Sus scrofa: one gene and its partner. The protein of the gene in region 2 interacts with the protein of the main gene of each other region in a biochemical or structural test. Links are inferred from orthologs where the notes say so. Each region holds a gene or a part of one and is shown on either strand. Other genes may lie near its edges.

Region 1 (3,915 bases), on a different chromosome or scaffold from region 2:
CCCATTTCAGCAGCTTAAAGAGCTTATGTTTTTGAGGGCCCCTCTGAGCTATCATCTCCTTTAGAAAGCAGATCTAGCCTTGGAGCTCCCGTCGTGGCTCAGTGGTTAATGAATCCGACTAGGAACCATGAGGTTGTGGGTTTGATCCCTGGCCTTGCTCAGTGGGTTAAGGATCCGGCGTTGCCACGAGCTGTGGTGTAGGTCGCCGATGTGGCTCGGATCCTGCGTTGCTGTGGCTCTGGCGTAGGCCGGTGACTACAGCTCCGATTCGACCCCTAGCCTGGGAACCTCCATGTGCTACAGGAGCAGCCCAAGAAATGGCAAACAAACCAACCAACCAAAAAGCAGATCTAGCCTAGATTCCAGTCAGTCCCCCCAGATTCTGGGGGGATTGCTGTCACACCTTGTTGAGGCTTCACCCGTGGTGGATAGCGTGTGAGGGCAGTGAGCTGTGTATCATGTCTCCCTAGACAGACTGTGAGCAGCTGAGGCCTTACTGGTTTCGGCAAACCCAGCACAATGGCAGCCATAAGACAAAGATGACGATGCTGGCTAACACTTATTGGAGGGATGGTCCACGCCCAGCACTGTGGCAAAGTGTCTCGTGTTGTGTTATCTCATTCAGTACTCTTAGCAACCCCATGACGGCGGTCCTAATGTTCCTGTTTCACAGGTGAGGAAACTGAGGCGTAGGAGAGGTCGAGTATTTTGCCTAAGGTCACAGAGAATATAAACGGTGGAATTCAGGTACGAGCAGAGGCAGGCTGGCTCCCAGTCGATGCTCCCATCACTAAACCATTATCCTGTCCTCCCTCTGTAACTGCCATTATGTCTGTTGGAGGGAAGGGGATTTGTTTTCCAGCTGCTGAAACAAATCTAAGCCTGGACTCCAGCCACTGCTGGGAGGGCAGGGAGGTACCTGGCAACCCCTGTGCCCGGGCCACTTGTGGGCCTGTTCCTTGCCGATCCACCTTCCTCCTCCCAGCCCACTCTGCCTCTGCAGTGATGCCTGGGAAGGGTCCCCAGGGCCTAAAAATTGAAATCCTGCCAAGTGGCCCATCCCTCTTTCCAGTTCCACCACCCCAGTTTCTGCTGTAACAACTTCCCATGCCCCTTCTTCCCAGAAGGCCATCTATCTAAAGACCATAAGGCAAAAGGGATGGAGGCTCTCCATAAAGGAGAGCAAACACTGGTATGGTGGCAGCTAGGATAAGCACCCCATCTCTTGTCCCCACGCGAGGGCTGTACTGCAATGGCACCATCCAGCTCTCCCTCCCCTTTGCTTCTGGTTTTCCTCTTTAGCCCAGTGTTTTCTTCCAATTAGGAGTCCTGGCAGAGGGTGGTGACAGCCACAATCCGTTGGACAACTGGAGTGTGGCTGTGGGGTAAATGCCTTGAAGCAGCTGCAGGGCACCTGACCTTTGGAGCCGAACCCAGCCAGCCTCCTGCCACGCTGAGGAAGAACAGCGTTTGTACACTGAGGTTGACCAAGAAGGTAGAGTGTGGGTGACCAGAGATGCCCCCCGGTGGTGGTGGGGAGCCGAAGCAGATGCCCCCTCACACTTCCTACTATTCTCTCCATTTCCTGTGGCCCAGAATTTGATGGGGGTGGGAGGAATTGTGCCAAGTCAGCAGTCCCCCTTTGGTCCCATCCTTCCCCCTCCCTGAACCACATAACGGAAATCTGGGGCCTCCCTCAAGTCAGCAACTTCCCCTTTCTCTGTGTTTAACCCCTAATCCAGGACGCCAATCGGCCCTCTGATCATCTCTCCAGGATCAGTCGACTTGGTGCTCAGAGATCTATGTTTTCCTACTCTATTGGTGGGGCTGATAGGGTGTTTTGCAGAATAAGTGACAGCTCAGAACCAGGCCACCATTCCTGTTCCTCTCTGAATAGAAGCCAAGAGCCCCAATCTTTTTCCTCTTTTGCTCCTGCTCCCCAGGGACTCAGGCATTCACCCCCTGCCCCCTTGGGGGTGTTGGGTCACAACAGGAAGTGGATTTTGCTAGAGACCAAAAAAGAGAACTGGAGGTGTCAGTGGAGGGAAGGAGCCTCGATTGCACAGAAAACATCCGGGGAGTGGATGGCGTGCCCAGGGCAGACACTGCCTCCCCTCACCCCCAGGAAGAGGGGTAAGGCTCAGATCGGGGAGGGTCGCCAGGCACTTTGCTGCCCCAAGATGAAGCTGTTGCTCCTAGCAACCCAGGGGAAGGCAGAAGTTTGTAAGCGGAGCCACCCGGCCCTTGGGACAGGTTGGGGGAGCCCGACTGCTTGGAGGGTAGTGGACAGGAGGCTCTCCAGTGGCTCAGCACGAGTCTAAGGGGATCCCCCTCCTGGCATCCAGCCTGCCCATACCAGTCCCCTTGGGGCCGGCCACCTGCTCCTTCCTCCGCCCCTGCATCGCTGCCTGCATCGGAGAAGCCAGTCGTCCAGCCCCCACATCCCTTCGAGAACCCAGATACGGGTTTCCCGATCCCCTCAGAGATCCCCTTGCAGGGTCTGTGGCATGCGTTGCCCTCATTATCCTCGAGGACCTAGGCGTGCGGCCCCGGATGGCTGCCCCCTAGGGACCCAGGCGTCCGGCCCCTGAATTTTCTCCCGGGTGTCCTTGTCTGGGAACCGTCCCAGTACCCGTCTGGAGCCGCCACCCACGTCCCGCCGCGTAGCCCCACCTCTCTTACCTGGTCCCCGGTTTCTCCCCCATGGTGCGCGCGCCCGCCGCCCGCCCGGTTCGCGGCTCGCTCGCAGCCTCAGAGCCCGCTGCCAGGTCCCTGCTCCTCCCCGCGCCACTGCGCACGCGCGCCCCCGCTCTTTCTCCACTCCCCTCTCCCCTCCTTCCCGCCCCCCCCGTCGGATCCTGGGGAGCCTAGGCCAAATGCGTCAGCCCGGATCGCGCGCGCCCCGGCACTGCCCGCCCTCTCCTCACAGGCACTCGCTGTGATTGGCTCCTCCAGCCGCCCTCCGCCCCCCATCTCCACCCCGGCCGAGGGACCCCCCCTCCCCGGCGCGCGCGGTCCCTGCACTCTGCTCTTCCCGCCCATCTCTCCACCCCTCCGCGCCCGCTTAGGCACTGATTGGGTCCCCTCAAACGAAGGCGCCCGCCTTCAGGAAATAAGAGCCTCTGATTGGCTTTATCCATTCCGGACCCTGCAGGGGTCCCCGCCCCTTTGTTTGCTTTCTCAGCGACGGCGGAGGCGAAGGGGGTGGTGGGGGCGGTGGATGAGCTCTAGCAGTCTGGCAGGGAGGATGAGGGGATCCACACGTGGGCGAGAGGTTCCAGTTGCGTGATGCTCGCTTATTGCGCGCCGCTCGCCCGCTCACCCTAGAGCTTGTTTCCTTCTTTGGCCCGCCCTCCTGTTTCCTTAGCGTGATGTGTCAGCTCCCCCTAGTGTCGGTATTTGATCTTCGCAGGGCTACTTTCCTACCTTTTTCCACCCATTCATCAAAGCGAACATCCATTCACGCACGCTTGCATCTATTTCATCTATCTATGCCCATTTTGCGCTAATCACTAAGCTAGGCGATGGGGACCCAGAAATGAATTAACATGGCCCCTGCCTTCCTCGTATGGTTGAGGAGACACATAAACAGGTACTATGATCCCAGGAATGCTTTACTAGAGATATGACTCAGAAGACAAAGCGACTCTCAGCCCTTTCCTGGGGGAGGAATGGAGGGAGGGCAGGCTGTCCAGAGGAGGGGGCATTTGAGGATAATCTTCCTGAAGGGTGGGCGGAAATTGAGAAAGGGTATTCTGAAGAGAGAGAAAGGCGAGGCACATCCTGTTTTGAGGTTTTTGTAGGGTGAGAGGGCAGGGGTGATAAGACTGGGTTGGATGAGTGGAACAGAGTGTGAAGGGTTTTGTAGAGCAGGCAATGGGGGGGCGCCTCTCCTGGAGGAGGGCGGTCGATCCA
Region 2 (3,815 bases):
AAGTTCGTATCTACTGGCTTTTCCAATTTTATACTTTATACCTGCAAGACCCTACAGTGTTGGATTAAACCATGTTCAATACAGTTTTACTGGTAAAGGCACTTACTTAGTATGCAACTCGGCATTTAAAAAATGGATAATCTTAATAAAGACAGCAACTGGCCAATGGAACCATTCTATTCTTCAACCAATGATAAAAAAATTTACTACACTGTGTTATGTTAATGCCTTATATTCCTACCACACAAAATAAACTGAATTGTGATAAAGCCCATACCTCAGGAAACTTCTGTACTTTACAAAACTTTACTCCATTCCTCAACCTAAGGGGTAAAACAAGGAAACCAATTTTAATAAACTTTTTCCCATATGTATCTACAAAACCTTTAGTATTTTCAAATATATAGTAAAACCTTTTAGAAAACGCAAAGATATCAGACAAAAAGTGCTCACTACTGTCTTATATGCTACTAATTTAAAAATGTATATACTAATAAAACCCTGGAATCCCTTACTGTAAAAAGTCATATAAATTAAGATTATTAGGGGAGGAGTTTCCGTCACGGCTCAGAAGTAACAAATCCATGAAGATGCGGGTTGGATCCCTCGCCTTGCTCAGTGTGCTAAGGATCCAGTGTTGCTGTGAGCTGTGATGTAGGGTCGAAGATGCAGCTCAGATCTGACATTGCTGTAGCTGTGGCACAGGCTGGCAGCTGTAGCTGCAATTCAACCCCTCGCCTGGGAACTTCCATGTGCCACAAGTGCGACCCTAAAAAGGCAAAAAAAAAAAAAAAAGATCATTAGGGGAGTTTGCCTAGCATGCATGTTAAGGATCCAGTGTTGTCACTGCAGTGTCTCTGGTTGCTGCTGTGGTGCAGGTGCGATCCCTGGCCTGGGAACTGCACATGCTGTAGGCACAGCCAAATTAAAAATTTAAGATTTTCAGTAATAAAAATGTAGGGAGTTATATAATTCTTTGATGAAAATAGTCTACTATCTATGGCCTGGCTATACCTTTATAACATTCAGATATCAAGTAAAACTGGGTTTAAAAAAAAAAACAAACCCAATTTCATAGAATTGGCTGAGTCAGGTCAATTAAACACACACACACACCACACGTGTGTGTGTGTGTATACAAAATTTTTGTATGTATATACAAAATTTTTTTTGGCTGCTCTATGTAGCGGCTTTATGTGGTATCTGTTCCCAGACCAGGGATCAAACCCAGGCTATAGCAGTGAAAGAACCAAGTCCTAAACACTAGACCACCAGAGAACTCCCTATGACCTTTCTTCTTAAATATAGAAACAAATAATTTGAGATAAGTAATTTTTAATAATTAAAAATTAGTAATTACCAATAATAATACACATTTGACAGACCTCTACTTCGGATTTTAGGGTAGATGCAAGTTCTTTTTTTTATTTGGCCATCCTGTGGCATATAGAGCTCCTGGGCCTGGGATCAGATCCTAGCCACAGCTGTGAACTAAGCTGTAGCTGCGGCTACACCAGATCCTTAATCCTCTGAGCGAGGCCAAAGATCGAACCTGCATCCTCACAGACACTATGCTGGGTTCTTAAACTGCTGAACCACAATAGGAACCCCAAGATTCTAGATCTTATTAGAAGGCTATTATTTTTCTATTAGATTCAGAAAAATTTTCCAGTTCATTCTACCTCAAACATACTTGCTTTCAGTTCTCCATTTACTTTTCTTTTCAAACTCATCACCAAGAAGACTTTGGAGCCTGAACTTGGAATTTCCTCGTGGTACAACAGGTTAAGGATCTGGCATTGTCACTGCAGTGGTGTGGGTTCAATCCCTGGCCTGGAAACTTCCACATGCCACCGGGCAAAACAAACAATCCAAAAGCCTGAACTTGCTGCAAGATGGAAAAAGGTGGAGCTCTCTGGTGGCCTAGCAGGTTCAGGACCCAACATTGTCACTGCTGTGGCACAGATGAAATCCCTGGCCCAGGGGAACTAACACATGCCAAAGAAACAGCCGAAAAGAAAAGAAAAAGAAAAAGACAGCTAGTGACAAAATCAAACTTTTCTTAACTGTCTTCTTATTCTGCTCTTATACAGCAGGTAACATTAGAGATGGTATAACCTTTCTGAATTTTACACAGATTTGAAACTATGTACCTTTATAGTCACTTTCACTTTGTAAATCTAGCCTGTTAGCATGGTAACCTGTATGAGAATACTGCTATACTTATGATGACAAAATTAATCTATGTAATGAAAATGTATATTATATGACGTAGTCCATATTTACAACATACTTGGAATATGTTTTATGCAAACTTACATACTTATATCTCAAAATACACTTTCCCATCTTAGCTAGTCCTATCAAATTTGTTAAATGTTTTTTTATCTGATTTGTTTTACAGAATAACCGGATTCTTTATTTTTCACTAAGACAAAGCTTCCCGGCTTAATTTTTCTAAGTAAAGTGGGAAATTAATCCCATATGCCCAATTCAAATAACAAGAAAACAACCACTTAAGATACAAAATGTGTACTTTCTGCTGTGGTGCAACGGGATTGGCAGCATCTTAAGAGCGCTGGGATGCAGTTTTGATCCCCAGCCCATTACAGTGGGTTAAGGATCTGGCATTGCTTTGGCTTAGGGTGCAACTGCAGCTCGGATCTGATCCCTGGCAGGAAACTATATATGCCTCAGGGCAGCCAAAAAAAGAAAAAAATAAAATACAAAATGTGCAATTAAAAGCACTGCCAACAACACTTACTTTTTGCATTTTTCACAACTGTACATATTGTCACCTGAAAATAGAACAGATCTGGTCATTCCTCTCAAATTAAAAGCAAGTTGTTTTTTTTTTTTTTTTTTTGTTCTGCAATTCTTCAAGTTTGCCACATGCTGACCTTGGAGCACAGCAACACAAGGCTGACTTTTTTCAGTCTCTGCTCAAGAGTCAGGGCATGATGCTTATCCTGCCTACAACACCCTTCACTTCCCTCTCTTTTTGACCCTGAAGGCCTACCTGTCCATTTATTCACTGAACAAAATCTACTGACTGCCTGTTATATGTCGAAGCAAGATGCTGACACATAAAAGTAGTGAAGAACCTTAAATACTTGGGAGGAATTCACAGACCAATCCAGATATAGAAGCCAGTGTTTTATATTGGCTGAATTTTCTTTTCTTTGAATCCCAGAGCAGATTTAAGCCACTTCAAATACCATATTGTCTAGTACTATAGGAATTTGTATAAATTGTTTTAGGATATGATTTATAGTATTTATATTTATATTGCTATGGTAGAAATTGGCACTGTGGCAATATGGGCAAGTACTATTTAGGCTGCCAGGAAACTTAGCTTTTATGAATACATTTTATATTTAGCCCTAGTAGCATTTTAGATAACCCACAACAGTTTAGTCATAGATGAAAACTATTTCTTATTTCTTACCTTTTAGTTCATCTCTGGCGAAGAAGGCAGCAAGACAATCTTGCAAGGTTACTACTGGACCCCAAAACCAGCTAGGGACACATGAGACAACAAACCTGAAACATTATTGACAGAAAAAAAAAAAAGAAGGAAATGTTCTGCCAGTACAGCAGAAACAGCGGTTTTAACAATCAATTAATACAAACAAAATACATACATACCTCTTCACATATTCCATGAAAAAAGCTATCCACCCTTGTGGAGCATATGCTTCACCACATGATCCTGCTTTGACTATAGACGTTGGATGACTTGATGAATGCAGCTTAGCAAGGTCTTCCTTGCCAGGGATAGGCAAGGATAGATCTTGAAAGGTCTCGAGGGTTAC

Evidence for each region.
Region 1: of the proteins of USP33 (region 2) and ARRB2, one has a biochemical effect on the other in vitro, tested with the Homo sapiens proteins (2 studies listed by BioGRID, with this or other methods). The link is inferred for Sus scrofa from reciprocal best matches to the Homo sapiens genes USP33 and ARRB2.

Annotation. Positions count from the first base shown.
Region 1 is NC_010454.4:52,167,551-52,171,465, forward strand, and holds the start of ARRB2 (beta-arrestin-2), read right to left. Parts: upstream 2,813-3,915; 5' UTR 2,706-2,812; coding exon 2,683-2,705; intron 1-2,682. UniProt on the Homo sapiens protein: Functions in regulating agonist-mediated G-protein coupled receptor (GPCR) signaling by mediating both receptor desensitization and resensitization processes.
Region 2 is NC_010448.4:135,565,895-135,569,709, reverse strand, and holds part of USP33 (ubiquitin carboxyl-terminal hydrolase 33), read right to left. Parts: coding exon 3,649-3,815; exon of another isoform or gene 3,544-3,648; coding exon 3,449-3,543; intron 2,799-3,448; coding exon 2,765-2,798; intron 324-2,764; coding exon 278-323; intron 1-277. UniProt on the Homo sapiens protein: Deubiquitinating enzyme involved in various processes such as centrosome duplication, cellular migration and beta-2 adrenergic receptor/ADRB2 recycling.